4 linked regions of the Diceros bicornis minor genome follow. The protein of the gene in region 3 purifies or fractionates together with the protein of the main gene of each other region. This does not show direct contact. Links are inferred from orthologs where the notes say so. Each region holds a gene or a part of one and is shown on either strand. Other genes may lie near its edges. The genes, in order: PNMA2, CEP97, CEP290 and CCP110.

The links.
Region 1: the proteins of CEP290 (region 3) and PNMA2 purify together in Homo sapiens (co-immunoprecipitation; 3 studies listed by BioGRID and IntAct, with this or other methods). This does not show direct contact. The link is inferred for Diceros bicornis minor from reciprocal best matches to the Homo sapiens genes CEP290 and PNMA2.
Region 2: the proteins of CEP290 (region 3) and CEP97 purify together in Homo sapiens (co-immunoprecipitation; 4 studies listed by BioGRID and IntAct, with this or other methods). This does not show direct contact. The link is inferred for Diceros bicornis minor from reciprocal best matches to the Homo sapiens genes CEP290 and CEP97.
Region 4: the proteins of CEP290 (region 3) and CCP110 purify together in Homo sapiens (co-immunoprecipitation; 6 studies listed by BioGRID and IntAct, with this or other methods). This does not show direct contact. The link is inferred for Diceros bicornis minor from reciprocal best matches to the Homo sapiens genes CEP290 and CCP110.

The regions. Positions count from the first base shown.
Region 1 is NC_080750.1:67,421,720-67,428,842, reverse strand, and holds the start of PNMA2 (paraneoplastic antigen Ma2), read right to left. Parts: upstream 3,002-7,123; 5' UTR 2,920-3,001; intron 1,086-2,919; exon of another isoform or gene 1,030-1,085; intron 421-1,029; 5' UTR 295-420; intron 1-294. Other genes in the region: DPYSL2 (dihydropyrimidinase-related protein 2), read left to right, coding at 3,413-3,766.
Region 2 is NC_080754.1:6,188,900-6,196,652, reverse strand, and holds the start of CEP97 (centrosomal protein of 97 kDa), read right to left. Parts: upstream 3,009-7,753; 5' UTR 2,926-3,008; intron 1-2,925. Other genes in the region: RPL24 (large ribosomal subunit protein eL24), read left to right, coding at 3,251-3,255, 3,379-3,454, 4,034-4,144, 6,545-6,681, 7,105-7,168. UniProt on the Homo sapiens protein: Acts as a key negative regulator of ciliogenesis in collaboration with CCP110 by capping the mother centriole thereby preventing cilia formation. Required for recruitment of CCP110 to the centrosome.
Region 3 is NC_080764.1:32,999,021-33,006,140, reverse strand, and holds the start of CEP290 (centrosomal protein of 290 kDa), read right to left. Parts: upstream 3,018-7,120; 5' UTR 2,544-3,017; intron 2,248-2,543; 5' UTR 2,223-2,247; coding exon 2,121-2,222; intron 1,970-2,120; coding exon 1,892-1,969; intron 805-1,891; coding exon 735-804; intron 434-734; coding exon 387-433; intron 1-386. UniProt on the Homo sapiens protein: Involved in early and late steps in cilia formation. Its association with CCP110 is required for inhibition of primary cilia formation by CCP110.
Region 4 is NC_080765.1:32,861,368-32,868,924, forward strand, and holds the start of CCP110 (centriolar coiled-coil protein of 110 kDa), read right to left. Parts: upstream 3,015-7,557; 5' UTR 2,833-3,014; intron 1,936-2,832; 5' UTR 1,905-1,935; intron 1,251-1,904; 5' UTR 1,096-1,250; intron 1,086-1,095; exon of another isoform or gene 938-1,085; intron 1-937. Other genes in the region: GDE1 (glycerophosphodiester phosphodiesterase 1), read left to right, coding at 4,671-4,931.

The sequences.
Region 1 (7,123 bases), on a different chromosome or scaffold from region 3:
TGAGAGAACGGTCAGTTTTACCAGCCCTCTCCTTCCCAGGGAGCATCTGTACTCCAGTTAGGGATGGAGGTGGAGGGAGACCCGGGGAGACATTGTACTTGTGTCTATCCCACTCTGTCAGATCTCTTCTTTGCCTACAGTGACATTTTTTTTTTCTCTTGGGGACCCTCCTGCAACCTAGCTTCCCCACCGCACGCTCATCAGAAGTGCTGATTAATATCTGAGCCCCAGTTGTGGACAGGACTCAAGATTTTTCCCACATGAATAATGAAATCAGGAAATGTGGTGAGATACCTGTTTATGCGTTCCAGAATGTTCCATGAGAGTCAAGGAGCTTATTCAGCTTCTAGCACAGGAAGATGTCACCCAAGTCCACACAACAGCGTGTCTGGATCTTAGCTCCAGCCAAGCCAAGTTGCCCTGTTATACATAAATAATAGTGTATTTTTATGGCTTGATAATATCCAGTGATGAAGACTGTTAATGCACTTATTCAAAAATATGGCAATCCTTCAAAACTTAATTAAATCTACTAAATTGAGTTGCTTCATTTCTTTTAGAAATCATTCAAATATTTAAAAACAATTTAATATAGGCATAATAATATAATTTATAAAATATACTTTAATATGACATAATAATATAGGTATTACAACCTAATAGAAGTATAACAATTTAAAAAACCTCAGGGCCAAATAAACTCAGAATTATGAATTAATTCTCTTTTGCTATGTCTGGTCAGGCTTTGCAAAAGCAAAATTAAGATGTTTCTTTTGCTATGAATGGTAAGTTATTAACACGACACTTTCTTCATAGCATTTGAACTTGAACGGGTCATTTGAGGAAAAAGGAAAAGAGAGGAAGCACATCTGTGGCGAGGGGGTGGAGACTGGGTATTGTGAAAAGGGAAGAGCTCCTAACGTGTCCCAGTTACTGGTGTGGAGTGTGTGTTAGGAACCACCACCGTTCTTCCCCAGGCCTGAAAATCTCCATCAGTCCTAATGGGGTCCATATGCCACAGATGCCAACCTGCAGTTATGGCGGCAGCTGCTCCTGCTGCAGGCACATTTCCCGAGTCTTCCCGGAAGGTGCTGAAGGCGGCGCATGCCAGAGGGCCAGAGGGCAAAATGGTGGGTCACGCCCTCCCCAGCAGGCCCAGGGATCTGAGCTCGATGACTCTTCCGTACCTCACTTTCCTCTTCTTAGATACGGGATGACCCGTATGGAAATATTTGGATATGGAAAAAATGTGAAAATCTTGTATTTTCTCACATAAAGACAGGATAAGTTGGAAAAGAAACCAGACTTTCAGGTGGAAGACTTCACTGTAATTGTTGCGCCATTTAACTAGATAGTGACCTTGGGCAAAGCTCCTCAATAGCTCTACACCTCAGCTTCCTGCCCTGGAAGGAAAGCACTCTTCTCCCTGGGCTGCTTTGAGGAGGAAATGATGTAATTCACGTAGAAGCACTTTATTCAAATGCTAAGCACATCTGGTGCTAAGTCCGAAAGCCTGCCCCTGGTTCTCTCAGCCCCTCCACACGCACATTCCTCTCCTTCCCCCTTCTCCCCTTCTCATCCGGGGACTCCTGCCCACCTAGCATGGTGGGCTCCTCACCAAACTGTGAGTGGTGGTCCTCTAAATTTAACTCCATTCACCAAACTATCCCTCACAACTAGGGGGTGGGTATCCGCATTTAATGCTTCTAGGGGCAAGGGCTGACAACGGGACCGAATACTTGGTCACACTGCCCCTCGCTACGGTCCTGCGGTAAACAGCCTCTTAGCCCAAACCCACCCTGGTTACTGAGCATGCCCAGACCTCTCTCTCGAGCCGCCAAAGGATGGGCATCATTTTTGCAGGATTTTGACACTGTGGAAAGAGGGGCGGGGCTGTAATCGACCAGAGGTAGAGACTGATACACGGAAAGGACGTGGGGACGGGAGTAAGCCGTGAAGGACCCTCAGAGACCGTGTTACTGGCACAAATCAAAATACCCCCCTGGATGCCCTGTGGCTGTGGCTAGTCTATCCGTACATACACACCAAGTCCCCACACACCTTTCCCCAGGTTGGCCTCACACAATCCAAGACACTCAATCACAGCCAGCACCCCATCTCCTACCCGCCACTGGACGCGCACGCACTTACGCCTCAGGCACGCGGCGTCTGGCCACCTGGGAAACCCCGCGGCTCTGGCGCAGTGCGCAGCAGGGCGGGGTGGGGACGAGGCGGGGCGCCCGGGGCGCCGGAGAAGGACTGGAGATTTGGGGAGTGGGCTTTAATCTGCGGCTTTCCCCCACTTTGGGCGGGGGCGGGAGATACCAAATGAAGACCTTCTCCTGTGCTCTACTTGGCGCAGTGGCGCAGTTACTGGTGCATGGCGCCTGGGGCAATACATAAGTTGCCGTGCTGGACTGGACTCTGCTACACTCTCACGGACCGTAGACCTATGTCTCTCTCTATCCGCTCCCCACCGTTTGCTACGCCCCTCTGCATTTCTCCCCGCCATGCTGTGCCTCTCCCACCACCGTGGATGCACAAAGTGAGAACCTTCTCGTTTCAATCTCTGCTCCCAGCAGCCCACCAAGGGCCGTGTGTAAACTAAGGCTTTGGTGTCCAGCGCCTCGTATGGCCCCTACCTTTCTGCGCCGCCTGCGCCATCCCTTCCCCATCCTCAGTGCCGCCCCTTCCCCTCCCCCCGGGTATCCTGACGCCTGTCAGTTTGTCCCTCTTTCCCCATCCATCAGCTCACATCCTGGGTGATGAAACCCTCCCCACGGTGGGCCACAGCCCTTGGCCCATCTCCGCAATGTGGTGGGGAGAGACGCCTGGGCCGGGCAGGCGGGGAAGAGGGGCGCGGGAGCCAGGGGCTGCGCCCTCAGGTCTTCGCCGCCGCGTGCCCTGCTCCATACTTACGGTGGAGCCGGGAGCGGTCGGCGGGCCCTCCGCTCCGCATCCATTAGCCGGTGGTCTGGCCACTTCACTTCCGGAGCGCGGGGCTCCCAGCGGCGCGGCGCTCCCTCCCTCCGCTGCGCTCGGCTCCTCTCCCGGCGCCGCGCCCCGCCCCCGCCCCGCCCGCGCCTCCCTCCTCCCGCCGCTGCCGGGAACTGGCAGCCTCTCCGCTCCCGCTGCCGCAGCGGCCACCCGCCCAGACCCAACTTTGCCGCTCGCCGGAGCTCGCGCGGCGGGGGGAGGCGTGGGCAGGGAGGGGAGAAAGCGGGGTCAGGGGGAGGGACCGGGAGCGGTGGGCCGCCCGTTCGCCAGCCCTCCTTCCTTTCTGTACACCTTGCGGTAGGCGCAGAGCGGTAGCCGCGGCAGCAGCCAGGGGGTTTGTGCACAGGGAGAGGCAGACTTAGGGACCAGCAGACGGACGGACCGACAGAGAGGACCCTCCTCGAGCCCCCGCGCCATGGCCGAGAGGAAGCAATCCGGGAAGGCGGCGGAGGACGAAGAGGTCCCTGCCTTTTTTAAAAACCTGGGCTCAGGCAGCCCCAAGCCCCGGCAGAAATTCTGTGGCATGTTCTGCCCCGTGGAAGGGTCCTCGGAGAACAAGACCATCGACTTCGACTCGCTGTCGGTGGGCCGGGGCTCGGGGCAGGTGGTGGCTCAGCAGCGGGACGTCGCCCACCTGGGCCCGGACCCGCAGCCTCCGTACTCCCGGCAGGGCCGGCGCGCCGGCGGGGAGCCATCTGTTGAATCGAGCCGGAAGGTGGAGATCCGGCGGGCCTCGGGCAAGGAAGCCCTGCAGAACATCAACGACCAGGTTGGTATGGGGGGAGGGGTGTTTGAAACGGAGGACCGGGCGCGGGGGTCGCCCCTCCCTCGCCTCCTTCCAGCTCGGTGAAGAACGAGGATCTCAGCGTGCCCACCGTCCTGCCCCTCCTCGAACATTGCCTCCCCGCATCTGCACACGCACCCCACCCTACCCGCCCCTTCTCCGTGCAGGGTGCGGAGAGGCTCGGGCTCGGCGGTGGGCGGCTGTGCGCCCACAAAGGCTGCCGGCGCCTCCCCGGGCCTGGGCAGTAGCGCGTGGGGGTAAAGGATGGGCCGATCCCCGGCTAGGGGGTCGCATGGTCGGGGGGGATGGGCCGCCGTCCATTCTTAAATCCGGCCGGGCGGCTTCCGATTGCAGCTGTGGCTGGATGCCCCACCCTTTTTTGATGCAGCTCGGAGCGAGCGGCGGAGAGTTCGCGTGCAGGCCCGCGGGCTCCCCGGGGGTCGGGAGGGGCGGGGGCTTCGATGGCCGCTCCCCACCGCGCCCTGCGCGTTCACCCACCGCACCTCCTCCCGCGCCCTCCGCGCTCGCGTCCCGAGCTCAGAGGCCAGCACCATGGCCAGCGCCTCCCCGGACCGCCTCGCAGAATCGCACCACCCTTGACTCCTGTTCGCAGTGTGAGAAGAACGAGGGAGGCGGTGGAGTCACGCGAGGAAACCGAGACGCTCCTCAATAGCCATGTGGAGAACAAAGTTCGCTGAGTACCCTAGCAAGGGCTTCCCAGAGCGGTCCCCCCGCCGCTGCTGGGGAAGCACGTTGGGGATGGGGACTGAGTGGATTATGTTCAAAGGGTAAAAAGAAAAGAAAAGGGGAAAACCCCTCACATTTTGAATAGATTGTCAGAGATGGATTAGATCCCTACACTGTGTCAATGGGGGAACAAAGAAGACCGATTTGGTAAACCTTGATTTTAGAAAGTGTTGTCATCTCTCGCAAATATGTATAGTGTGCATTTTAAGTGCAGTAGTCTTCTTGCACCACGTTTTTTTTTATCAGGGTGACCTTCATACTTGTGCAATTTTTTTCACAGCCTTATTTTCTCTACTGATCAGTTACAGTGTGGAATGTTTTAACACTTGTTTGCTGTTTCTCTCCCATGCCCATTGGAGAAGATGAGAAATCAGTCAATGATTGATTATTTATTGGAGACCTATTGTGTGCCTTCCCTTGTGGGGCAGGGGGATGGTTAGCTATTAAAAGTTCAAGGTGCTTTCTTCTTAAGAGGCTTCCAGACTAGTTGGGAGTGGTCTATACATATTCACCGAGTGATTCCACAGCATTTATTTGGCATTCAGGTTGTGTGCTTACAGTGAGAACAATTATGAGTTGCTGATAATGGCCTGAGCATGTTACTGTTTCCTGATATGGCATAGAGTTTTGGAGCTTTTGACTCTTAAAGGACCAATGCTAGGAAAGATAAGACATTTGCTGTCATTTTCAAAAGGTGGGACAACACATCACTTAATTGATTCCTCCTCCCCGAGCCCTGTCCTCTGGTTTATTCATATAGGAGGGTATCTGATGTGCATGTGTCACTATGAAGCAGCCAGAAGAACCGAAGTCTAAAAACCTCGCTTTGTTCCAAGTGATCAGACAATTTAAGTAAAAGTTTCTAATAACATAACCTCATCTTCAATAAGTTGTGCTGGTAATTCAGATGTCCTCAAGGGAGGAGAAAAATGCCTTGAGATAAGGAAGAGATCATTTAAAAAAATGGCAGGTCAGGGGGCAGAAGTTGAGAGCGGCCACCCCTGTAATGATGGCAGTGAATTAAAACTCAAATTTGAAAGGCAAAATTTCACTGGGTTAAATAACACCTCTCTTTTCCTGTCCATTTAGAAGCTTAGATGCTGCTTGTTTGAACACGCCCCAGATTTATTAGAAATTCTAAATTGTAAACCTAGGGAGCATGGAGGGGGAGATTTGAAGAGGAAATACCCAACCAAAACCCTGGGCCGAATTAGCCTCCGCAAACCTACATTTGCTTCAGTTGCCAGCTTATCAGTAACAGAGAGTAATCCTGGCTTGGTCTTTCTGCAGTCCTGGATTTTCATTTTCAATTTTGCCTTAACACGTAACGGCTGTTCCTATGGGATTTTTTTCATTCATGACTAAGAACATTTACCAGGATCAGTGCTCACAGTGTTTGAATATTTCATGTCTATATGAGAGAGAAAAGGCATTTGAGGTGTGTGTGTGTGTATCAATGGTGATTTCCAAAAGCACAGCTGGGCCCACCATTTTGACTGAATTGAGTAGCCGTTACTTAGTTTTCAGCTAATGAGCGGGGTGACTGGCAGCATCTCAGTGCGTTCCTGTCAGAAGCCCTGGCACAGAGAGAGGTGGGGAGAACTAGAGTGAGTGGATCCCAGGGCCCCTGTCTCATGCCCTCCCTCCTCCCCCGAATCTGTCTTTATAGGTCTTGTTAATGTGTTGTCAGAAGTGGCTTTGCCCACCTGTCGCACTAGGGCACCTGCTGTTCCTCTAGCAAGGCTTTGAGAAAGGAGGGAACAGACTTCCTTAGCCCAGGTGCTGCATGACTTGTGGGAGGTGAGGAGAGGTTGAGTGTCTGCATTTGCAGGAACTAAGTGAAATATGCTTCTGTTGTGAGCAGGTCAGCACCAGAAAGCAATGGGCGTGGCTTTGGCTGGGATGTCAGGTTTTGGTGAAAGGAAACAGGCAGTGGTGTGATTGTGAATGAGGAAAGCTTCTATCTCATTACTCTCTTTTCCTTTGTGTCCTTGGGGAAGTCTACCTTGGGCTGCAATGAGGTTAAATTGATTATGACCTGTGAAAGACTCTGAGCCTCTTGGAATAGAGGGCAGAAGGGCAATATTGTTGGCCAAATTCTCTCTTGCCAGTGCCCAGGGCTCCCTTAGCCTCCTCCTTTCCTCTTAGGAATTCCCTGCATTCCACCTCAGACACAGTTTAGCCAGAACCAGCTGTTTAGCCAGGGATACTGGAGCATGAGCATCCCTTCCCAAGGGGCTCCTAGGCCCTTCTCCCAGCAGCAAAAGCCTCCATGGACTTGAGTGGCAGAGGAGTGATTCTCCACTTCTCCAGGGCAGGTGCCAGTGAGTGAGCTATACACCAGTCTGCTGAACTTGACAGAATCACTGGGTCTGTAAAATGCTTTCTGACATTCCCTTCCATTCTGCGTCCCCGTCTCCTCTCCCCATGTTGATAATCTCCCAGCCCTGGATGCCCAGTGACTCTGCTGCCCTCCTACTGTTCAGTGCCACTCCTATGCCATCCTGATGCTGATGCCCCTTCTAGATCCTCTTTCCTCCGAAAGCAATGAGTTCTGAAATCACTCTCTTCCCCTTTGCCCTTCCCTCTCCCATT
Region 2 (7,753 bases), on a different chromosome or scaffold from region 3:
AATTTTAAAGAAAGCTTCATAATTTTTAATGCTGAATAATTTTTAAACCTAGTTATTTTCTAACCTAGTTACTAGACATTTCTTTCAAGCCCTCCCTGAAGTCAATGCCTGAGAGTCTTGGGATTAACTAGCCTGCTGGAAACTACAGTGGTAGATTCTAAAAAGGCAGGATCCCTCCCATACTTGAGAAGAAAATGCTACTGGAAGAAAACACTAAGAATGGTGCTTAAGTCATTCCAAAGGCATTCACATTTACACATTCCAGTCCTCATCTTACTTGAACTTTACACGGATTTTAGCACTGTCAAAACTCTTCCAAAAATTTCTGTGAAATGACTGTCATGGGTGTCTTTCATTTGACCTCATCTGCTCAGCCTCTTTCAGTCAATTCTCTCTTCCTCCATTCCCCTATCCCTTAAATATTGGTATTTCCTGATTCTTTTTTGCTGGCTCACTCTAGTCACTCTAGGGGTAGTAAAGAGAGATGCACTATCCAGATCCCTCTTCAAGCAAGGGATGCTGCCCAACAATGGCCATAGTGATCAGCAGCATGCTCCAGCTATAAGTAGGGTCTGGCTCAGAACCATCTCACTTAGGTCGTGACCTCTCTGGGACAACTCATATCTGGTGCGTAAGCAAGGTGGGAGCATAAGAGGGTTGATCATTTGGCCCAACACGGGATACTCTGACAGGCAATAATCGTTCCAGAGCTCCTGCAGGGTTGACTAAGGTTTAGTCGGGCCAGTGATGGATTTAACTTCTTCTGCCTAATACTGCTTTCTCCCTCTTCCTTTCACAGGACTTGATCCCTAGTAAGTATCTTGCACCCTAAATTCAGTCTCAGTAAGCGCTTCCAGAGAAGCAAACCTGTGACACTAGGTGTCGTTATCCCACATATTCTACCATCACCTATAGGTTCATCACTCCTAAAATATATCCCATTCCAAACACTCCTTTGAACTTGTTTAACTTCCCACTCCACACCTCCAGCTTAATGTTCTATGGGTATCTTGAACTCAGTCTTTCCAAAACTGACCCTCTCCCCCACAAACATGCTCCTTCCTCTTATCTGTCCTCTTTTGACAAATGATACATACAACCCTTCACTAAGTCCCCACTTTCAAAATTTCCTCACCTCCTGTATTATCTATTGCTATGTTAACAAACTATCCCCAAAATATAGTAGTCTAAAACAACAAACATTTATGCTCTCATAGTTTCTATGGGTTAGGAATTCAAGAGGGTTTACCTGGGTAGGAACTGGAAAAGCAAGGAACATGTTTCGCCCCAGAGCCTCTGGTGGGAGCCTGGAGACCTTGATTTCAGCCCGGTGATTCTGATTTCAGACTTCTGGCCTCCAGAACTGAAATGGAATACATGTCCAATGTTTTACGCTACCAAGTTTGTGGTAATTTGTTACAACAGCCACAGGAAACTAATACAGCAGGTGAGTATGCATAAAAGGTGAAGAATGCTCTGTTCTCAGGAGGTATATGGAGGCTGAGAAGAGTACCAACTTTGGTTCTGCATTGCTCCATAAATAAATAAAAGAAAATGGAATGCAGCCCAGCCTTGTCTCTATAAAAGAGAATGTAATGATAAAGTCAGCAAAAATTTATGGACAGTGTTGGAAACTGTGCTTTACGACACTATATAAAATGCTTTTGGGGGTTTCTGTATAATTTCTTATTCTAAAAGGGGTTGAGCACAATTTAAGGCATGATACACGCAGTGTGTTACAAAGAACCCTGAAATGCCACCTCAAGAATGCCCTCCAGGAAAGAGGAAAAGAGCTGAAATCTCTGGGACCTAGTTTCCCGCTTTCCCTCCACAGAGCTAGGCAGGCCAAACATAATTTTGAAGACCAATAAAACAAAATCTTTCTAAAAGGCTTGGGAAGGGACTATAAATTCTGGGGTTCTATGGAGCAAGCAGGACCAAATTTCTGCAGGTAAATCTTGGCTCCACCCTCTCCTCACATCCAGCTGTGCATGGGAGCCTGTACAAGACAGGACTATTCCAGAAAGATTTTGTTTTTTTAGTGATCAAACATTTGTTTAATCAGCCATTATTTGAAAGAGTTGGATGAATGTCCGAGTTGATGCCAGGAAATCCACTGCCCAAATTCAGACAATGTCTTCCAGTACACCAGCTCAACAGCTGGTCAGAGTTGGTCAGGCTGTCAAATTCCTCCTCTTTGCTTTGCTTTTCAATTCCATGCAAGTCGCTGTTAACTCATTCTTGAGACTGGTTTCAGCATAACTGTACAGCTTTCTTAACATTAATCAGTCACCTCGTTGGACGTTCCAGGTCTCTTCAACCAGCTGCCGTGGAACCCTTTTAGGGTGAGATGCTTATATGGACAGCATAAATCAATCATTACAGTTCTGTTTCCTAGTCCAGTACTCCAGCCTCCCACACATTTCAAGGGTTGCCTCTTGCCACCCCCATCATCTGCTGAAGTACCTAGCATCACAGAAGGGCTCAAGAGATTGAGGCCTTGCCCTCCCGGGGGGCCTGGACGGAGCTCCCTTTTCCAGGCCTCCGGGGGAGCTCTGCGCTTCGCGCAGCCACTGGCCCCTGGGCTCCGACAGGAGGCAGCCCGCCTCTTCCCCGGCCGGCAGTCGTGCCTCGGGGCTTACTTAGTAGCGATTCCGTAAACTGAACGAAGAAATGTAGTAAGTGCTGTAGCGTAACTCCCAGTAGAGAGAGCACCCAATGAATGTTAATTACCATCACTGCAAAGCGCCACCATGCACAATTCGATTCGCACGGCCTGGGAGACAATTCAGGTCTCACTGCCTTTTTTTGCAAATCGTAAAACTATTAAAATTTAATTTTGCTGGTTGAGAAAATGGGCCAACACAGAAGGCAAAATGTGACTTTAAGTTCCACCCGCGGGGTACCGGTCTGTGGGTCACTAACCGAGAGGAGGGCGAGTTCACGATCCCTGCAGCGGGACCACGGCTCTAGGACGTTTGGCCGCAGGAGAGAGAACGCCTCAGACACCCGCCGGCGCGGCCTGTGTGACCGTCACCCCGGAGCCTCCGCCGTCTTCGGCGAGCTCCTCCCGAGGCAGGCGGCCGCGGGGAAGACCTCGCGCGTCGCCGGCGAGAGTGACGTCATCGTCGAGCGCCGGGGCCAGCGAAGGGCATTGGGGGAGGAGATTGCCCCCACGACGTTATAAGGTCCCTTCCCATGATCCTCTCTTTCTCTTCGCCATTTTTCCTTCTTCCCGGCGGCTGCAGCCATGAAGTAAGGGGGAGTCCTGGATCCTATCCGCCTCCATCTTCGGGCAGCGCGCCTCTTCGGCGTCCCGGGCATGGCCTCTCCTTGCCGTGGCCACCCTCCCTAATGGGCTTTCGCTTTTCGTTCCAGGGTCGAGCTGTGCAGCTTCAGCGGCTACAAGATCTACCCCGGACACGGGCGGCGCTACGCCAGGACGGACGGGAAGGTGAGAGGCCGCGTCGGCTCCACGCCGCGCGTAATGCTGAGGGGGGAGAGCGGGCCACTTCGTCTAGGCGGGTCCATTTCTCTCGTCGCTCTTGTCTCTGGAAGCCTTGCTTCGGGGCCCCTGCGTGCAGTGGTCGTGAGGACCGGAAGCCTTTAAGTGAACCATTCTTGAGCCTTGATGTGGTGTGAGTCAGGTCCGCATTGCGGAGTGTAACTTCAGTGGCCCGGGATAAGGGAGGTGGGCCACCGAGGTGTCTGGCCACTTAACGGGCCCAGGTCCTGCTGGAATCCCGGGAGAGACGGAAGCTAGACGCCTCCCAGGATTTGCCGCCGCGCCCCCCCGCCCGCGGTACGGGCTGAGGTCAGCCTGCCTGCTCGCGAGAGACGACGGGACCAAACGCGGAGACCTTCGTGGTGCCGCTCAGTCACCTGCCACTTGGTGACACAAACCCTTCGGTCCCGGTGGCCTGAATTTCGTAAAAAGAGACGATAGCGCTAGAATACTAATTCGCTAAGGATTTCAAGTTCAGTCTCTCGTGCTTTGTATAGTTGAGTAACTACTTTGAACTTGTCACGACAGGTTTTCCAGTTTCTTAATGCAAAATGCGAGTCGGCATTCCTTTCCAAGAGGAATCCTCGGCAGATAAACTGGACTGTCCTCTACAGAAGGAAGCACAAAAAGGGGCAGTCGGTAAGTGAAGTGCACTTTGCCGTTGAGGGGCTATCCCTTAAGTTGTTTAACTTCTGAGCATCAGTTGCTGCTCCGTAAAATTGTGATTAAATGAGACAGTACGTGAAGGTGCTCTTAGGCCGTAGAGCATTGAACACGAAGTGAAAATGATTGATCCAGGGTTTCCTTATGCATCTTAGGGCCACAGTAAAGAGAGTTGAGATTTGGAAGCATCCCCTTGCTGGAGTCAGACATTACATTAAGCACCGTTGGGTTATAGAGCACCATGGAAGTGTTCAAGGTGTTACAGGGGGTGGAAACTAAGTAGTTATTTATGGTTTTGATCATAATGTTTATAGGATTAGTCCTAACAGATATCAGTGGAGTCTTCCAGCATACCACTTCGTTCTCAAGAAGACTGGATGTGTTTTTTGAAGTGCTCTTTTAGCTTGGTGAAGGAGATTTTTGAAGAAAGATTTGAGTGCCATGACACTCAAGTATTCAGGAAACTTGGAATGTTTAGTGAGCACCTCCTGGGCGAAAGACATTACTAGATATTGTTAGAGTTCAGAAAAAGGAGAAATTTATTTCTAATTTAATTAAAAAGTGGACTTGACACACCCATTAGGATGGCCATTAAGTGGGGGAAATGACAAGTATTGGTGAAGATATGGAGAAATTAGAACCCTTGTGCATTGCTGCATGTAAGATGGTGCAGGCACAGAGGAAAATGGCTTGGCGTCTCAAAAAGTTAAACAGAATTATCATCATATGATCCAGCAATTCCACTTCTTGGTATACATCCAAGAGAATTATAAGCAGGGACTCACAGATAACTTGTACACTGATGTTCATAGCACTATTATTCACAGTAGCCAAGAGGTGAGAACAACCCAAACGTCCCATCAGTGGATGGCTAACAAAATGCGGTATATACATACAGTGGAACATTATCCAGCCTTAGAAAGCTGACAGCCAGCCAGCATGGATGAACTCTGAAGACATTATGCTAAGTGAAATAAGCCAGATAGAAAAGGACATATTGTGTGATTTCATTTTTGTGAAGTACCTAGAGTAGGCAAGTTCCTAAAGACAAAGTAGAGGTTACTAGGGGCTGGGGGGAGGGAGGAATGGGAAGCTAATATTTAATAGGTGCAGAGAGTTTGGGATGATGAAAAAGTTCTGGAGGTGGATAATGGTGGTGGTTGCACAACATTGTGAATGTACTTAATGCCACTGAGTTATACATTTAAAAATGCTTTAAAATGGTCAACTTATGTATATTTTACCACAATAAGAAAAATACTTTAAAAATGGATTTAAGATAAGAAAAACTAACAGGTAAATATTGGCATTTCCTACAATAAGATTTCATCTTGGTAAAAAATTTAAAACAAGCATTTTAATCACAAATGTCCTGTTTTATCCATATATTGTTAAAAAATTTTTAAGATATTTGGCATATCCCTGCCTTAATAAACAGTTCTTCAAGTATATTTTAATTTTTCTTGGACTTAGAGGTGCACTGCAGGATCTTGTTTATTGTTAAGCACTGTGGTATAGATTTCCAATATAGAATCTGCAGCAAATGTTTGAATTGTTCTCTGTCTTGATTCCCGGACATTCTCTAACACTTGGTGGCTTTCCTGTCATAAATCATTTTCTAACTTGACTAATTCTCCCAGTGACAGTACTTTGAATAAAAACAAATTATGTGAGTTGAGGTTTGATAATTTTTTTCCAAAAGTAAATTCTTTAACGTAAACAGTCTTATTAAAATCTCTTTTCAAGTACTGTCCAGTTAACTTCCTTAAACTTTTTGTGTTTTTAAAATAGTAAAAAATGGCCAGAATTTGTAATAGATGATTTAACCAGTCCATAATTGGAAAACTTATCTGCGTATTGTGGTATTTTACATATGGATATATCTTTATATAGTTATTTCATTTCAAATAATTGCATGAATTATTTCTGGTTGAATATTATTATGGTCTGAATGTCCCCCCCCCCCCCAATTAATATGTTAAAACTTAACCCCCAAGGTGATGGTATTGGGAGGTGTGGGACTTTTGGGAGGTGATGAAGTCAGAGGAACGAGCCCTCAGGAATGGGGTTAATGCCCTGATAAAAAGAAGCCACAGAGAGAGCTCTCTTGCAAACTTTGGACATGTGATGATACAGCTACGATGGGAAGAGGGTCCTCACCTGACCATGCTGGTATCTTGACTTCCAGCCTCCAGAACTGAGAAATAAATTTCTGTTTACAAGCTGTTCAGCCTGGTATTTTGTTATAGCAGCCTAACAGAGTAAGACAAATGTGGATCTTAAAAGACTCATTTCCCCTGCCTTAAAGACTTAATTCCTCCCCCAAATTCATGAAGCAGTGTTCATAAGTGTGCTTCCCATCTATTTGTTTTGTAGGAAGAAATTCAAAAGAAAAGAACCCGCCGTGCAGTCAAATTCCAGAGGGCCATCACTGGTGCATCTCTTGCTGATATAATGGCCAAGAGGAATCAGAAACCTGAAGTTAGGAAGGCTCAACGAGAACAAGCTATCAGGTGAGGAAGCCTTCATTATGAGCATTTCAGCTCTTGGGGTGGATTTTAGATTATGTTTGGGTTTATAGACACAGAAATCCAATCTGATGTTATTTTGTGGTTTTGGTACTTAGATCTATATAGGGATTGTCAGTCATAAATATTTAGGTCTAATAATACAGAAGTTTATAATACAGTCTAAACTAAATGATTTGTTAAAATTCTATATGCAGTTAAAGCTATTATACAATTTTTAATGTATGTTAAGCTGACTCAGGGGTCAATGCCATTTATTGACAAACCCTTTGGCTTTATCCTATAAATTATTGGAGATGGGGAAGGAATATGATAATTTTACTTTCCCAAAACACTCTAGCTCTTTTTTAATAGGTTGTACCCTTAAGGAGTAAAGTGCTTTGTCTTAAGTTATTTTTAACCCCCCAGGGCTGCCAAGGAAGCAAAAAAGGCTAAACAAGCATCTAAAAAGACAGCAATGGCTGCTGCTAAGGTAATTGTGGGCTTGTCTTGGATTTCTTATTTAAAACAAAAGGAAAATTTATTTTTAATCCCAATTATAGTAAATGAAAGTTTCAAGTTTTTAAAGAATTTAGTGCAAATGGAAATAATGTTCATAACTGGTTTCTGGGTAAGTGATTCAGATCTCCAGAGAGCTCCCTCTACCAGAGTCAAATGAGGCTGTTAGTGTTAGAAATTGGGAAAGGGGAAAGTAAAAGTGGCTTTTGTTTTTTAAAGTTTATTTTGAGATAATTTTAGATTTACAGAAAGCTTTTCAGTAACAGTGCAGAGTTTACCCAGCTTTTCTCAATGTTATCAATTGAGATAACCATAGTAAAATTTTCAAAACCAGAAAATTAACATTGGTCCTATACAACTAATAAAATCGATGTCCTTTTTCTGTTCTTAGGATACAATTCAGGATCCTACGTTGCATTTAGTTGTGTCTCCTTAACTCCTCCAATCTGTGACAATATCTTTGTCTTTCATTTATATTTTATATAAAGGTGGACTTGTAATTTTTAGGGGGTTCTTAAGAATAATAGGAATGTAGTTAAATAATCAGGAAAGCAATCTA
Region 3 (7,120 bases):
ATTCAGTTCCCTAACAATACATTTATATTTTGGCTCTTAGCTTTCTCAAAAGCTGCTACTTCTCCCATACCCTTCTGTCACCATTCCTCAAATTCCCACATGCCTCATTCTACCTCAGTTACTAGTAATCCTTCTGTGTATCTCTCTAGACTGTAAGCTCCATGAGGTTATTGAATGTTTTCATTTTGTTCACAATTGGATGCTCAATCCTTAGTAGAATTTAAGGTACATAACAGACAGGTAAAATATATACTGAACAAACAAATAATTATGAACACAGTATCATTCTTGTGATTATTCCAATAATAATAATAGAAAAATTTGAAAATAATAATTCAAAATAATAAAATGAACAACTACACCCTAGGGAATACAAAAGGACATACCTCTAGTTCATTTTCCAGTTTCATTACTTTAGTTTTTAATTGATTTTCTATTAAAAAAAGACAAATGTTTCAATTGGTCAATTTATCTCAAGACAAACTTCTAAATAAATTTCAATAAAATAATAAAATAAATTCTTTTTAAAGATTCCATCATGATTGTAATAATAAGGTAATAGAAGAGAAAATAACTATCTTATACCTGATCTATGGAATAGGAGTTCTAGAATATCTTTCAAAATAAATTGAGTCTACACATTTTATAGAATGTATTAAAGCTAATTCTCTGTTGCTTAGAGAACAAATGGAATCCACTATTTAGCATCATAATTAACTTTCCATAGCACTTACCAAATTTTGCTTGCTCTTCTCCAGCTTTTTCAACCTCTTCCAAAGCCAGCTCTACTTCTTGAGCTTTCATCTAAACATTAAAAACACAAAATTTATTTCAATACGCCTTTACACTAGAATGTAAGCACCCAAAACAGGATTTTATTTGCTATCCCAAAACTTAGCGCTCAGAATGCCGGGCATACACAGACATTCAGTAAATAGCTGTTGAATGAATAGATGATTTTCTTACTTAAGGCTATAATTTTTAGATTCCTAACAGTTTGAAACATCTTTGATTCTTCTTTTTCCCTCAAGTCTTATATCCAGTATTGCCACTTTGCTCTTTGTAATGTTTTCCACTATCCCTTTTTTTCTATTCTACTTGTGATTCTTCTAGTCCATAATTTTTTGTCTAACCTCCTTTATAACATTATGGCTAAACAGCTTTAATTTCCTTCAATTTGTCCTATTTAGCCTAGTTTACCCTCCATAGTTTAGTTTACCATACCTAGTTTAGCCTTCCCAAGGCATATTTTTGTACCTATCAAGCGTGGCTCAAAAACTTGTAATGGCTCCTCATTGCTGACAGCGTAAAATACACCTGCAAGGCCTTTGACAGCCTCCGTAGAGGCAACATTTGTTTCCTCTACAGCCTGCCACAAAGTGTCTGCACTTGTCTCCTCAAATGGAAAGAATACACATTTTCTATTTCCAGTTTTTATTTATGGTAACCTCCAGCTCTAGAATCTCCTTAATATTTTACCACTGCTTTCCACTTACCTAAAACTACTCATCAGTCTTTAACCTTCATGAGGTCTTCTCACATCTAAATCTCTTCCCCTCCTAATAAATCCCTATAATAATCGTCTGCATTTTTCACTTCTACCTCAGGATTATGTTAACTTAATTAACATAGGACCTCCCTATGTTATTTTTAAACATATCCATCTGTTTCCCTCACATATTCTTTTAGGAACTTTAGAGCAGAAACTAGCCATGTTTTGCACACTAAAATTCTCAATCCACATTTGAAAATACCTCATTTTTTAGTGGTGATTTAGATATTACAAAGTACTTTTATAGAAATTAACTTACTTAAGTTACTTAAGTAAGTAACAGATTCTTAAACCTTCTCTAATAGTCAAAGCTGTTATTAAAACCTACTGCATACAAACCTTCATTAGTGACTGAGTAATTCTGAAAAGGTGTATCACATTTTCTTGACTTTCTTTTTTTAGCTCATTTACTTCCACCTAAGTAAACAGAAAAACAACTATTATATATTTATAACACTTAAGCAAAATATAAGAACTCTTCCAATTGTACCACTCAGTGATTAAAGGGACAACTTGGATGAATCATAGTTGTATGTATATATTTACATATTATTTATCAATTAAGCACCTTGGATAAGGAAATCAATAAATTATCTGCCAATTCTTCTTGACGAGGCAGGTCATCTGGATCAACTTTTATTATTTCTTTCCAGTTTATATTAGGTGGCATCTTGAATTCTTTCACTGTGCTTTACCTGCGGTAACAAGGTAGGTGGGTATTAGCATTTTCAAGGTAAACAGCATTAATGTTTTCACAGCAATTTACAGTTTTTACACATTACATTGTTCTAACTCTCTATGGTGTCAGCAAAGAGCTATGCCTCCTTAATTGTATAACAGATAAGCGGGTAAAATAACCTTGATCACAAGTATAGCAGTTGGCACAAACCATCAGATATTGTATCGGCTAAACAAACTACGACGGCTTCTTTGTTAAAACTAATCTTGGTCAGAACTAAGATTCTGAGTCCCCTCCTTCATGCCCCCTTACCACCAAGGCACGCGAACATCTAATGGTGCCAACCGCGGAGGTGCTCGGCAGGCTGAAACCGACCCCTGATTCGGAGAAGCAGGAACTGGGCGTAAAAAAGTGAGGAAATAAACGATTGAAATGAGTGCAATTGGGCCGGGGAAACCAGGGCTGAAGCGAGGAGAAGGCAGATGGATTGCTGACCAAAAAGGCTAAGAGGCGGGGAAGCGGGGCTTTGCTGCAGATGGGCCCTGAAGCTTAAAGAACCCGCGTAAGAAGACAGCCGCTGCTCATGCTCACTAGGATCCAGGCACCTAAGCCAAACCTGGCAACCAGAGGCGGCCCTTCATCTACCGCACCCACCAAGCACGGCCCCGCCGCCACGCCTGACCGCTCCCCAGCGCAGTGCCAACCGGACACTGGCTCCCGCCAACTGGTCCTGAGCGAGGAATAGCGGCGGCGGCTGCTAGGCGACACCATTCCCCACCCAGCCAAGGCTGGAACAAGGCCCCGGATGCCAGGGAGCCTACATTTCACGACTATGGGTGATGCTTTACGTTTAGATTCCCCAGCGGGTTTCCCGGACTCTGTGAAAAGGACAAGGAGAAGTCTTGGGGATGAGGACTCCAAATCCCAGAGTGCAGTTCTGCTTGGAGGCTTGTGCATCCTGGGAACTGAAGTCAATGAGAAGTGGAGGTAGGCCGTTCCCGGCGTGCAATGCGAGAGGCTGCGACCGTACCGGGGCGGCGGGGGAACCAGCCGGCGGCGGGAGGCGCGGTGGCGGAGGCGCGGTGGCTGAGGCGCGTCTGCTGTGAACGAGGTAGACCATGAGTGTGCCTGCGGTGGCGTCGTTCTCTGGACCGCTCTTCTTGAGGTTTCCCTGAGCCGTCCTCTCGTGGAGCCGCTCCCAGGTGAGGTCGAGCTGTCGGTCAGCGGCGGGGGAGGAGTTGAGGGGAGCGGTCCTGATTTGGAGACGCTCCCGCCATCGGGGCGGAAGGGCCTGGCCCGAGAATGGAGAGGTGGGAAGACCCCGCCTTCTGCTTAGGCCTTTGCAAGCGACGCCCCGGGGGGTGTCCTCTGTAAGAAGACAGAAAAGTTTTACCCCTCTTTGGTATCAGAACCTGTCTGTGTACAGTGGAGTGGGGGCCGCGCGGCCGAGATCATAGTTTGGGGGCGAGTGAGGAATTGAGAGGAGGGCAGTGCATCCTCCGACCCCGCCCGCCTTGCCTGTAGCGCCATCACCGTCGCGGGTGGAAGGACTTGAAGGTTGAGGAGCTGTGTGTCTAGAGTGAAGGCTCTAGAGAGGAGAGGTTAGAACTTGTCGGGGCCACTGCTGGGGGTGGAGAGAGAAGGGGCTTCAGTACCCACCAGTCCTGCAGCTGTCACTTGCTTGGTTACCGAGGGTGCTCTTCTATGAAAGCGCCTTCTCAGGTGTTTACAGCTCTTATTTGTGCAAGTTTTGCTTATCCCACTGCTCTCATTCTGGAGTATGATACGCCGCTAGGTAACTTAAGCTATAGACTTGAAATCTAAATGACATTTTCAACTGTTTGGACCAGTGCCTCTCATCTTTATCTTTTTTTTTTTTTTTTTACTATAATTGATAATAAATTTTCCTTTTGAAAATAAATACTAGATTTCTTTCCAAACCACATGTTTGGGTAACAGCTCAGTAGGAATACCTCAATAGAAAATAAAAACAGGTACTGATGTTGTGAGATATATTTAGACATTCATCAGATTTGTAGGAATGATAATTTTGTCTAATCATTACTGAAAGATAATATGCCCAGTACTATTCATTATCGTTTTTTTTAACCATGGTGTAATTATATCCCCAGAACTTAATCATATGATTGGAAGTTCGTACCGTTTTTTTTTTTATTCTTTTTGGTGAGGAAGATTGGTCCTGAGCTAACATCTGTTGCCATTGTTCCTCTTTTTGCTTGAGGAAGATTGTCCCTGAGCAAACATCTGTGACAATCTTTCTCTATTTTGTATGTGGAACGCCGCCACAACATGGCTTGATGAGTGGTGTGTAGGTCCAAACCCAGGAACCCTGGGCTGCCGAAGTGGAGTGTGAGAACTTAATCACTATGCGACTGGGCTGGCCTATGGAAGTTTGTGCCTTTTGACCAATAAGTTCTTTGTTTCTGTGAGCTTGGTTTTTTTAGATTACACATATAAGTGAGATCATACAGTATTTTCTTTCTCTGTTGACTTATTTCACTTAGCGTAATGCCCTCAAGGTCCATCCATGTTGTGGAAAATGGCAAGATTTCCTTTTTTATGACTAGCATTCCATTGTGTATATATACCACATTTTCTTGATTTGTTTGTCCTCTGGTGGACACTTGGGTTGTTTCCATGGCTTGGCTAGTGTAAATAATGCTGCAATAAATATGAAGGTGCAGATATCTCTTCCGGATAGTGATTTTGTTTCCTTGGCTGTATACACGGAAGTGGAGTTGCTGGATAATATGGTAGTTCTGTTTTTAATTTTTTGAGAAACCTCTGTACTATTTTCCATAGTTGGTCTACCAACTTACATTCCCACCAGCAGTGCACAAGGGTTCCCTTTTCTCCACATCCTTGCCAAGACCTGTCATCTCTTGTCTTTTTGAAGACAGCCATTCTAACAGGTGTGAGGTGACATCTCATTGTAGTTTTCGTTTGCATTTTCCTGATGATTAGTTGCTCATGATGTTGAGCACCTTTTCATGTACCTGTTGGCCTGTATGTCTTTGGAAGAAGTTCCTCTACCGACTTTTTAATAAGATTGTTTTTTTTGCTATTAAGCTGTATGAGTTCTTTATATATTTGGGATATTAATCCCTTAACAAGTATATTTTTGCAAATGTTTTTTCCCATTCCATAAGTTGTCTTTTCCTTTTGTTGGATTTCTTTTGCTGTGCAGAAACTTTTTAGTTTGGTGTAGTCAAGACTGATGTCAAGGAGCTTACTGCCTATGTTTTCTTCTAGGAGTTTTATGGTTTCAGGTTTTACATTCAAGTCTTTAATCCATTTTGAGTTGATTTTTGTGAGTAGTGTAAGATAGGGTCCAATTTCATTCTTTTGCAGATGGCTCTTCAGTTTTCCCAACATCATTTATTAAAAAGACTATCCTTTCCCTGTTGTATATTCTTGGTTCCTTTGTTTGTTTCTAGGCTCTCTCTTCTGTTCCATTGTTCTATGTGTTTGTTTTTATGCCAGTACTATACTATTTTGATTACTACAGCTTTGTCATTGTTTCATTTGCTCTTCATAACAATACAATGAAATAGGTGCTAATAATGTCCTCATTTTCCAGTGAAGTTAACAAACTGAGGCTTGGAGAGTTTAAATACTCTCCTCAAGCTTAAAGAGTGTGTTTGAACACGGATCTTTCTGGCTAGAGGCCATGTTCTTAACTGCTATACTGCCGCCTCAGGCATGCAGGGCACCTGCATGCCTGTAAAGTGCTTGTTCTTCGGTCTTGCTATGTATATTAAATATTATCATATTCTACGGTAAAGTTGCAGGATACAAAATCAACATACAAAAATCAGTTGCATTTCTATACACTAACAACGAAGTAGCAGAAAGAGAAATTAAGAATACAGTCCTATTTACAATTGCAACAAAATGAATAAAATACCTGGGAATAAATTTAACCAAAGAGATGGAAGATCTGTACACCAAAAATTATAAAACATTGCTGAAAGAAATTGAAAAAGACACAAATGGAAAGATATTCCGTGCTCTCGGATTGGAAGAATTAACGTAGTTAAGATGTCCATACTTCCTAAAGCAATCTATAGATTCAACGCAATCCCTATCAAAGTTCCAACAACATTTTTCACAGAAATAGAACAAAGAATCCTAAAATTTATATGGAACAACAAAAGACCCTGAATAGCTAAAGGAATCCTGAGAAAAAAGAACAAAGCTGGAGGTATCACACTCCCTGATTTCAAGATATACTACAAAGCTATAGTAACCGAAACAGCATGGTACTGGCACAAAAACAGACACACAGATCAATGGAATAGAATTGAAAGCCCAGAAATAAACCCACACATCTATGGACAGCTAATCTTTGACAAAGGAGCCAAGAACATACAATGGAGAAAAAAAAGTCTCTTCAACAAATGGTGTTGGGAAAACTGGATAGCCACATGCAAAAAAATGAAAGTAGACCGTTACCTTACACCATACACAAAAATTAACTCAAAATGGATTAAAGACTTAAATGTAAGACCTGAAACTATGAAACTTCTAGAAGAAAACATAGGCAGTACGCTCTTGGACATTGGTCTTAGCAACATATTTTCAAGCACCATGTCTGACTGGGCAAGAGAAACTATAGAAAAAATAAATAAATGGGACTACATCAAACTAGAAAGCTTCTGCACAGCAAAAGAAACCATCAACTAAACGAAAAGACAACCTAACAATTGGGAGAAGATACTTGCAAACCATACATCAGATAAGGGGTTAATCTCCAAAATATATAAAGAACTCATGCATCTCAACAACAAAAAAACTAACAACCCGATTAAAAAATGGGCAAAAGACCGGAACAGACATTTCTCCAAAGAAGATATACAGATGGCCAA
Region 4 (7,557 bases), on a different chromosome or scaffold from region 3:
AGATACCATAAATAGTGTTCATCTTAAAACAATTAACTAATTAACAAAAAAAAGAAAGGGTAGAGAAATTCAATTCATGATGTGAAATATGCAAAGATGAAGATACAATATGATACTGTCCTAAACCTCAAAGTACTTACAAATTCAGTACACTAAGGTGTCAGGGACAAATTATAGTGCAATTAGAAATGAAGAAAAAGCATTTTCAAAATTATGATTAGATTATGAAAAAATAAGATGTATTGCTAATTTTGACCAACAGCTAGTTTTATTAATAACAAAACTTCTTCCTACCATCTCATCCATTCTAATTATTTCTATATTAAATTTACTCCAAGTGAGAGTTTAATTTCAAAGAAATGGTTCTCTAGAGTATGAGATTATTCTGCAAACCAATATTGATAAAACAAACAAAAGTAAAAAACAAACATAACACCTTACTGCACGATAACCATAGCAAGGCCCCATTTGTCAGTCTGGATTTCAACCCACATTATATCTTAACAACCAAAATACGCAGAAGCTAAGATGTAAGAGAAATTCAAATGACCCCATTTCTGCTAAAATACTTCAAAATATTTTTTACCACAGCCCATGCATCCAGCATTACAGAGAACATAAATAGCTGACTCATACAATTAATGTAATATTCTTCGTATGGATACACAAGCAAACATGAAATTCTATTTTAAAGGTCTGAGAAATTTAAGGAAATAAAATATCTTTATGGCAATAGTTCTATTTTTCTTTCAGCAACATCATGAAGATATATGCCTCATGCTTTAGAAAGTTAAATTCATATCCCTTTAACAGTACATGTATGTCAGACGTATTGCAGATCCACAGTAAGAGATTATTATTACAGCATAATTTATAGCATATGATAATGCATTCACCACCCAAATACAAGCGCCAATAAGGTGATTACGGAAATTACCAAATGATCCCAGAGCGTGACTGGATCCTTCTTATATTTCAGTCTCAGCTTGGATGTCGCCTCCTCGGAGAGGGTGTCGCCGACGAGCCCATCTAAATTAACCCTGTGACAGTCACTATCACATTGCCCTGCTGTTTTCCAATTTTCATAGCACTTACCACTATCTGAAATTATCTTATTTCCTTGGTTTTCGCCTGTCTTCCTCCACCAAAACGTAAGCTCCATAAGCACAGGTACTTTCTCAGTCTTGCTCACCACTGAAGCCCCATCACACAGAACACTGTCAGCACACAGTCGGCATTTGATAAAAGCGCTGAATAAATGAATTAGGGTAATTAGCTCAAACAATAACGAAAACCGGGAGAAAAAAGAGAGTGGACTACATAGCAAAGAAGCTAGCAAGGAAGAAGGGAATTGAGAGAATGGAGTTTCATGGATGACCCTATTCTCAGAGAAGCCGGTACCTCTAAACTGCAAAGGCAACCGTTTAAAAAGTGAGCGTCCGTATCCTATATTAAGGCACTTCGTCTCTCACACCACAATTACCTCTGTCAGCAGGGTTTTATTTTAAGGGAGCCCCGACTACAAGGCCACGCCAAGCACAAATCTACTGCCCCATACTTTACCACCAGGCATTACTGGTCCACTTGAATTAATAATTTGTCAGCTGCATCAAGTTCAGACATGTCTCATTTCTCCATTTATACCATGACTTCTCCAAATGAGCCTCTTTGCAAACCCCGCAAACTCATGGTCCTGCTACCTGCTCCTCAGCAGTGCTCTCCCAGAGATGTCACTGAAGGGAATGGTAAAAGTAGCACAGAACAGATCTGGCCTTGTTTTCAGATCCTAGCTGGTTGTTTACCCATCAGTCTTCCCAAAGACATAAACGTCTTATAGAGGTAATAAAGGGGAAAGTTTCTTATTCAGGCCCACACTAGCTGTATGTTCTTGGCAATTCACTTACCATCTCTATGCAGTCTATACGGTCTCCTTATCTGTAAAATAGGAATAATCTGAGTATCTGTCTCAAAGAGATTCTATGAGGATTCGATGAATTAATACACGCGTGGCAATTACTATATTGCAGGACATGCAGAGAGCATCAATAAATGGGGCCGCTTTGGTTATGAAGAGGAGGAGGAGGATTTTTATCACTAGATTATGAACTCCTGGAGGGCAGCGACAGTGCTTGGTTCCTGGCAAAATTCAAATATAACTTAAAAACACGGAAAGGGGGTCAACGGCTTCCTCCCTTCGCTGTTTCCAGACCGCTCCCCATTAAATCAATCTCTAGGCGCCTGCCATTTGCCTAAACTGGGGATAGGGAACTGGAATGACAACCAGACAGAAGCAAAGGGTGGGAACCACCTAGCAGCATCAGGGGCAATCAAGAGAACTTGCTTTATTATCCTCATGTTTATGCCCCAGAGAGGCGCAGAGGCAGAGTAAACAGCGCTCCTGGGGCCTCTGGTTGTGGTCACCGGCCTTCAGAAATGTCCAGTGCTCACCCCGGGGACGCCTCCCTCGCCAGCATCGTAGAAGAAAAACGCCCCACACTGTTTGAGCAACAGGAGGTGGTCCCCGGCTCTGGCCCGAGTTTATTTACAGGGGATCCTCTGCCCCAGCGCCCCACGCCCACCTCCCCCAGCTCCTCTGGAAGGCTCCATCCCGAGGGCCCACCAGGCGGTGTCAGCATCCGAGCATCACCTCCGCGCCCGGGCACCCACCTTTCGACACCCGGCGCCCTTCCAGGGTCTCGAAGCCCGGGGGCCCAGCACCCGCGCTCGGGCTGTCCAGAGCCCGCCCTCAGCTCTCAGGGCGCCAATGCCGCCTTGCCCGTGGCCTCGGAGCCGGGACCGGCTGAGGATCGAGCCCGCTCCTCACGCACACACCTGATCTCCCACGGCCCGGGCAGGTTTTCTCCCCTCGCCCCGGGCCTTGTGAGGAAGCCAACGGCTCAATCGGTACAGACAGAGAGCAGCTCGGTCCGCCGCCGCCTTCTCCTCCTCCTCCCCGCCATATTACGGGTCTCAGGCGGCAACGCGGGCTCCTGGCAACCGCCGCCGCCGCTGCTCGGACTCCACCTCTCCCCACCGCCACTTCCGGCGGTTGCTTCCCGGGCTGTTGGAACCGTTGGGCCTCCAGAAAACTACAATCCCCGAGGTGCATTGCGCGCCTGGGTACGCGCCCTGGCCCAGTGATGAAGGGAGTAGTACTTACGGGCAGCGCGGTGCACGCTGGGAAACGTAGTCTTCACTACGAGCTGAGGCCTCTGCAGGTAAAATTTATTATATGGGAACGCCCCAGGTCTGAAGCCGCCTGAAATGTTCCTTGAAGTTGCTATTTTTCACTTATCCGTACAGATATAACCTCATTCTGTGTGGTCGTTGGAAAAGATACAACATTCACCGAAATTTTTTCTCTGTAAATAAAATATTGCTGAATCCTAGAATGCCAACTCAAAGCCTTAAGACATCCCTGACCCTTTCGCAAATCAGTGGGAAAAACGTCCAAGAAAGGTAACAGATTCAAGATGGCCCAAAAAGCCCCGAATGTTTTACCAGAGTTCTCTATCTAAACAACATGTTACCAGCTTTCCAAAATACAATGCAGCAGCCGCTTTCATTTGCTAACTCGGCTTTACCGTTTGCCTCTTTTACTGACCCTGCTTCCCGTGCCTATACTTGCATATATAAAATGAAAGTTTTAAAAGTGCCTATCACAAGGGTGGCTGTGAGGAACAACTGAGATATTCTTGCACAGTGCCTGGTGCATAAGCCCTACTATTAGCCCATAGTAGAAGGACAAGTAAGGTTACGAGGATGAGTAGCAGTGCAAAAAAAAGTCACCTGGCCTAAAACTGGAGTGGCTTGAGTCAGTCCTGACGCTGCCATTAACTGCTCAACTCTCTTCACCTCTCCTGGCCTCAGTTTCCTCATCTATAAAACGAGGGAATCATTAAAATCCCTTCCAGCTTTATAATCCGATTGTACCTGCTTTGCTATGCTCTTTCGTTCCCTCAGAATCTGAAAAATCCTTCTAAAGTCGACTGAATTCATTCACTCCTGAGATAAGACCTACCCACTGAGGCTGTTGTGAGAATAAACGAGATAACGCATAAAATATTCGCTAGCACAGAACCTGGAATACGGTAAGTGCTCTATAAATGTTGGCGTGCTCCCTAACACTATTATTTTCCCCCACGAGAGCAGGGACCGTGCAGGTCCTGTTCACTGCCGTGTCCAAGCACCTGGACTGGTGTTTGGCACATCTTGAATTGAATACATAAATAGTCTGAGCGTTGTGCTCCTTCAAGGCTCCCCGGGCAGTTTCCTCGAAGGCGGAATGAAGGGGTCACTAAGGTCCCTCCAAGTCCTGCAACCGTACAATGGGTCTTGCATCCCTCCCCTTCTCGAGTCTGAAAGCCCTGGTTGAAGGCCCCACCCCGGAATAATCCAAAACCACTTTGGAACGCGAGCCTGGGGCCGGGGCCCGCCTGCGTTGCCATGGCAGCGGCTCCGCCCCCGAGAGCTGGCGCTCCCCGGCCCTGATTGGCTGGACGGCCGGCTCCTTCTCCCGCTGCGGCCGCCGCCGCCATTGTGCGGCGCTCGGCCCCTCGGAGGGTGTCAGCTGCGGCCGGTGCCTTGAGCTCTCGCTCCCGCTTCTGGTTCTCCTGTCCGGGGAGCCCGGCGGGCCCGGGACTCCCGTCCGTGCCGGTGCGGGCGCCGGCATGTGGCTGTGGGAGGAGCAGGGGGGCCTCCTGGGCCCCTTCTCCTTCCTGCTGCTGCTGCTGCTGCTGGTGACGCGCAGCCCCTTCAATGCCTGCCTCCTGACCGGCAGCCTCTACCTCCTGCTGCGCCTCTTCAGCTTCGACCCGGTGCCCTCCCGCAGGGCCCTGCAGGTGCTCAAGCCGCGGAACCGCGTCTCCGCCATCGCCCACCGCGGCGGCGGCCACGACGCCCCCGAGAACACGCTGGCGGCCATTCGGCAGGTGAGCCCCCCACGCCTCGCGCCCCTCCGGGGAGCTGGACTTCTGCTTGTCCTTCCGCAGATTCCCCAGGCTTCGCGTGATAGCCTTCCCGGTTCCCCATTCGTCCTCAAGAAATACGTTCCTGTGGCTCTCGATCCCTCTGAAGTCTGGAAAATCTCCCGACTTCGAGTATTTATAGAACATAGCAAATACTCACATACTTACATATTTGCTATGTGCCAAGCACTGCGCAAGCGAAAGTGCAATGAAGAAATAGAGTAATGGAATGAGGGATGACTGGGGAAAGCAGTTAATGCTATTTCCAGATAGTCAGCGAAATCCTCAGAAGAAGTGACTTTTGAACTGAAACCAAGATTGCGAGAAGGAGCCGGCTGTGGATCTGGGGGAAAAGTGTTCCAGAAAAAGGGAGCAGCAAGTGCAAAGGTCCTGAGGTGGGAATGATGTTGGAATGTTCAGATAACAGAATAAGCATATGTGGCTTGACTTCAAGGAACAGAGCAAAGGCTAGTGAATGAGGTAGGAAATGTGGCCAGGTTAAGTAGAGTCTTGGTCAGTGGTTGAGTTTATTCTAAGTGGATCACATTCACAAGAGCTGTCTTTGCTTGTCCTCCAAACTAGCCAGGTCATCTCCTTATCACCTTCCCCCCAGACACACACATTCATCCTCAGACAATCCTGGCATTGGGACTCTAATCAGTTTCTGCCTCCCCTTGTCACAAGGCTCTCCTGGCAGTCTCCTGACATGAAAATGACCGTTCGCATAGTAAGAGAGCTTTTCAGTTGCCTAGCCACTTTTGCATCTGTAGAAATATATCTGATCCTCTCATTTCTTTGAGACATTTTAACATTGAATGAGTAGGAAAGCTGCTCAAACCACAGCTCTTTCTAGAATTCAACCTTCTGATTCCAAGCCTCAATGCTCTTTGTCATAGATTAGAATATGTCCTGGGATGTAAAAACTTGGACTGACTGTCATGTGTCCTGCTAGGGACAGACAGTGTTGTGTAATGAGCAAGTTACTTAAGCTGTCAGTGTCCCAGTCAAGAGTCATGACTAGGGTGTGGGAAGCGCGGCACCCTAGGGCACTTCTCACTCTAGTCCCAGCCGTGACCTCAGTTTCCCCATCCGTAAAATGGGAATAATATTGATATCCGCCTAATAGGTTGTGATTCAATGAGGTAGTCCACATAAAGTGTGTGGCCCATGATAAGACCTCCACAAATGTAAGCTCTTTAGGCCAAGAATCTAAAGATGGCTTGATTGTTTAAAATCGTTTAGGTAAAATTTAAGTGTTAAGGGAAAAATTTAAGTCTGAAGAAAGAAGGGAGTCAGGAAGGCAGCTTTAATTGAGCAGAGGGCACCTGACCGTTTATAAACCCAGTTAAACTTCTCTTATGCTTTTTCCCTTTGGTTCTTTGTGATGGAAGGGAGACAGAGCAGCTCTTCTAGCCTTCTGTTTAAAAATAAATCTAAAGATATTGAAGAGTGTATTTTACCTTCTAAACCTAAACCCAGAGAGGTTGCATGAAGTAACACAGCTAGCTACACAGGAGATAGAACTGTCATGCAAAGAAAGATGATAATTACCATAGGAAAAAAAGCACATAATTGTCGTTGGCTTCCATTTCTACTTACCTTGTGTAAATTGCCTTAAAGTATAACTCATTGTTAATTGAGCACAGAAGGTATTCATAAGTATTTACCGATGGGTATGGTAGTTTGGCTAGGAATATGTTTGAGTGAATATAAGTCATGTTAAACGAGGAAGTATGTATGTGAAATACACATACACATAGAGTGTTTCATATCCCCTCGTGTTGCAAGAGAATTATAGCTAAATTCCATTCATGCCTTGTATGCTTAGGTTGAGCATGTCTTTAATGTGTGTAATAATCATAAATAAACATCGTGCCAAGTTGATTACTGGTCTTAAGAGGAAATGAGATGTGGTAATTCACCTTGTTCGAATATCGGGTCATTATCAGTGAACTTTTTAGCTGTAATAGAATTTAGATTCTGAATACAGACTGCAGAAGACAAGGTCGCATCCTCCCGCTTGACTTCAAATTTGTAGTTTATTTCCATCAAAGTTTGTTTTTTGTCCTATTCTTCCTCCCTTTACATGTTTACAGCTCATAATTTATATCCTTAAACATTTGAAAAAAAAAAAAAGTTTTACTCCGTGAAAACTCAGGGAAGACGTTCTGACAGTGGTAGAATTTCTGATAGATTATAAAATAGATATATAAGGAAACACTTGAAAGAGGTAAGGTGTGTTCCCCCCAAAAATACTATTGTAAGACATTTCTCTAAATAAATAAAAAGATGAGTATGAAGTGTATACTAACATGTGAATTAGAATCAGGTTCATCTTTTTGCCTCTATAACTGGTAAAGAAAGTTGAATGCAGTCATAGAAGATCTGGTCTAAGAAATTAATATGGTGGTTGTTTTATAGAGCTTTTGTTTGGGGCCTTAATAAACTACACAGAAAAGACAAATAAATGAACTCATTAGTTCTAGTTCACTTGCTAAAATAGTCTCACCATTGTTACTTTTTGTGTTGTAGCCAAATAAGGATGGCCCTAATGAATAAAAGTATAATTGAACCTAATTATAGTGCCCCA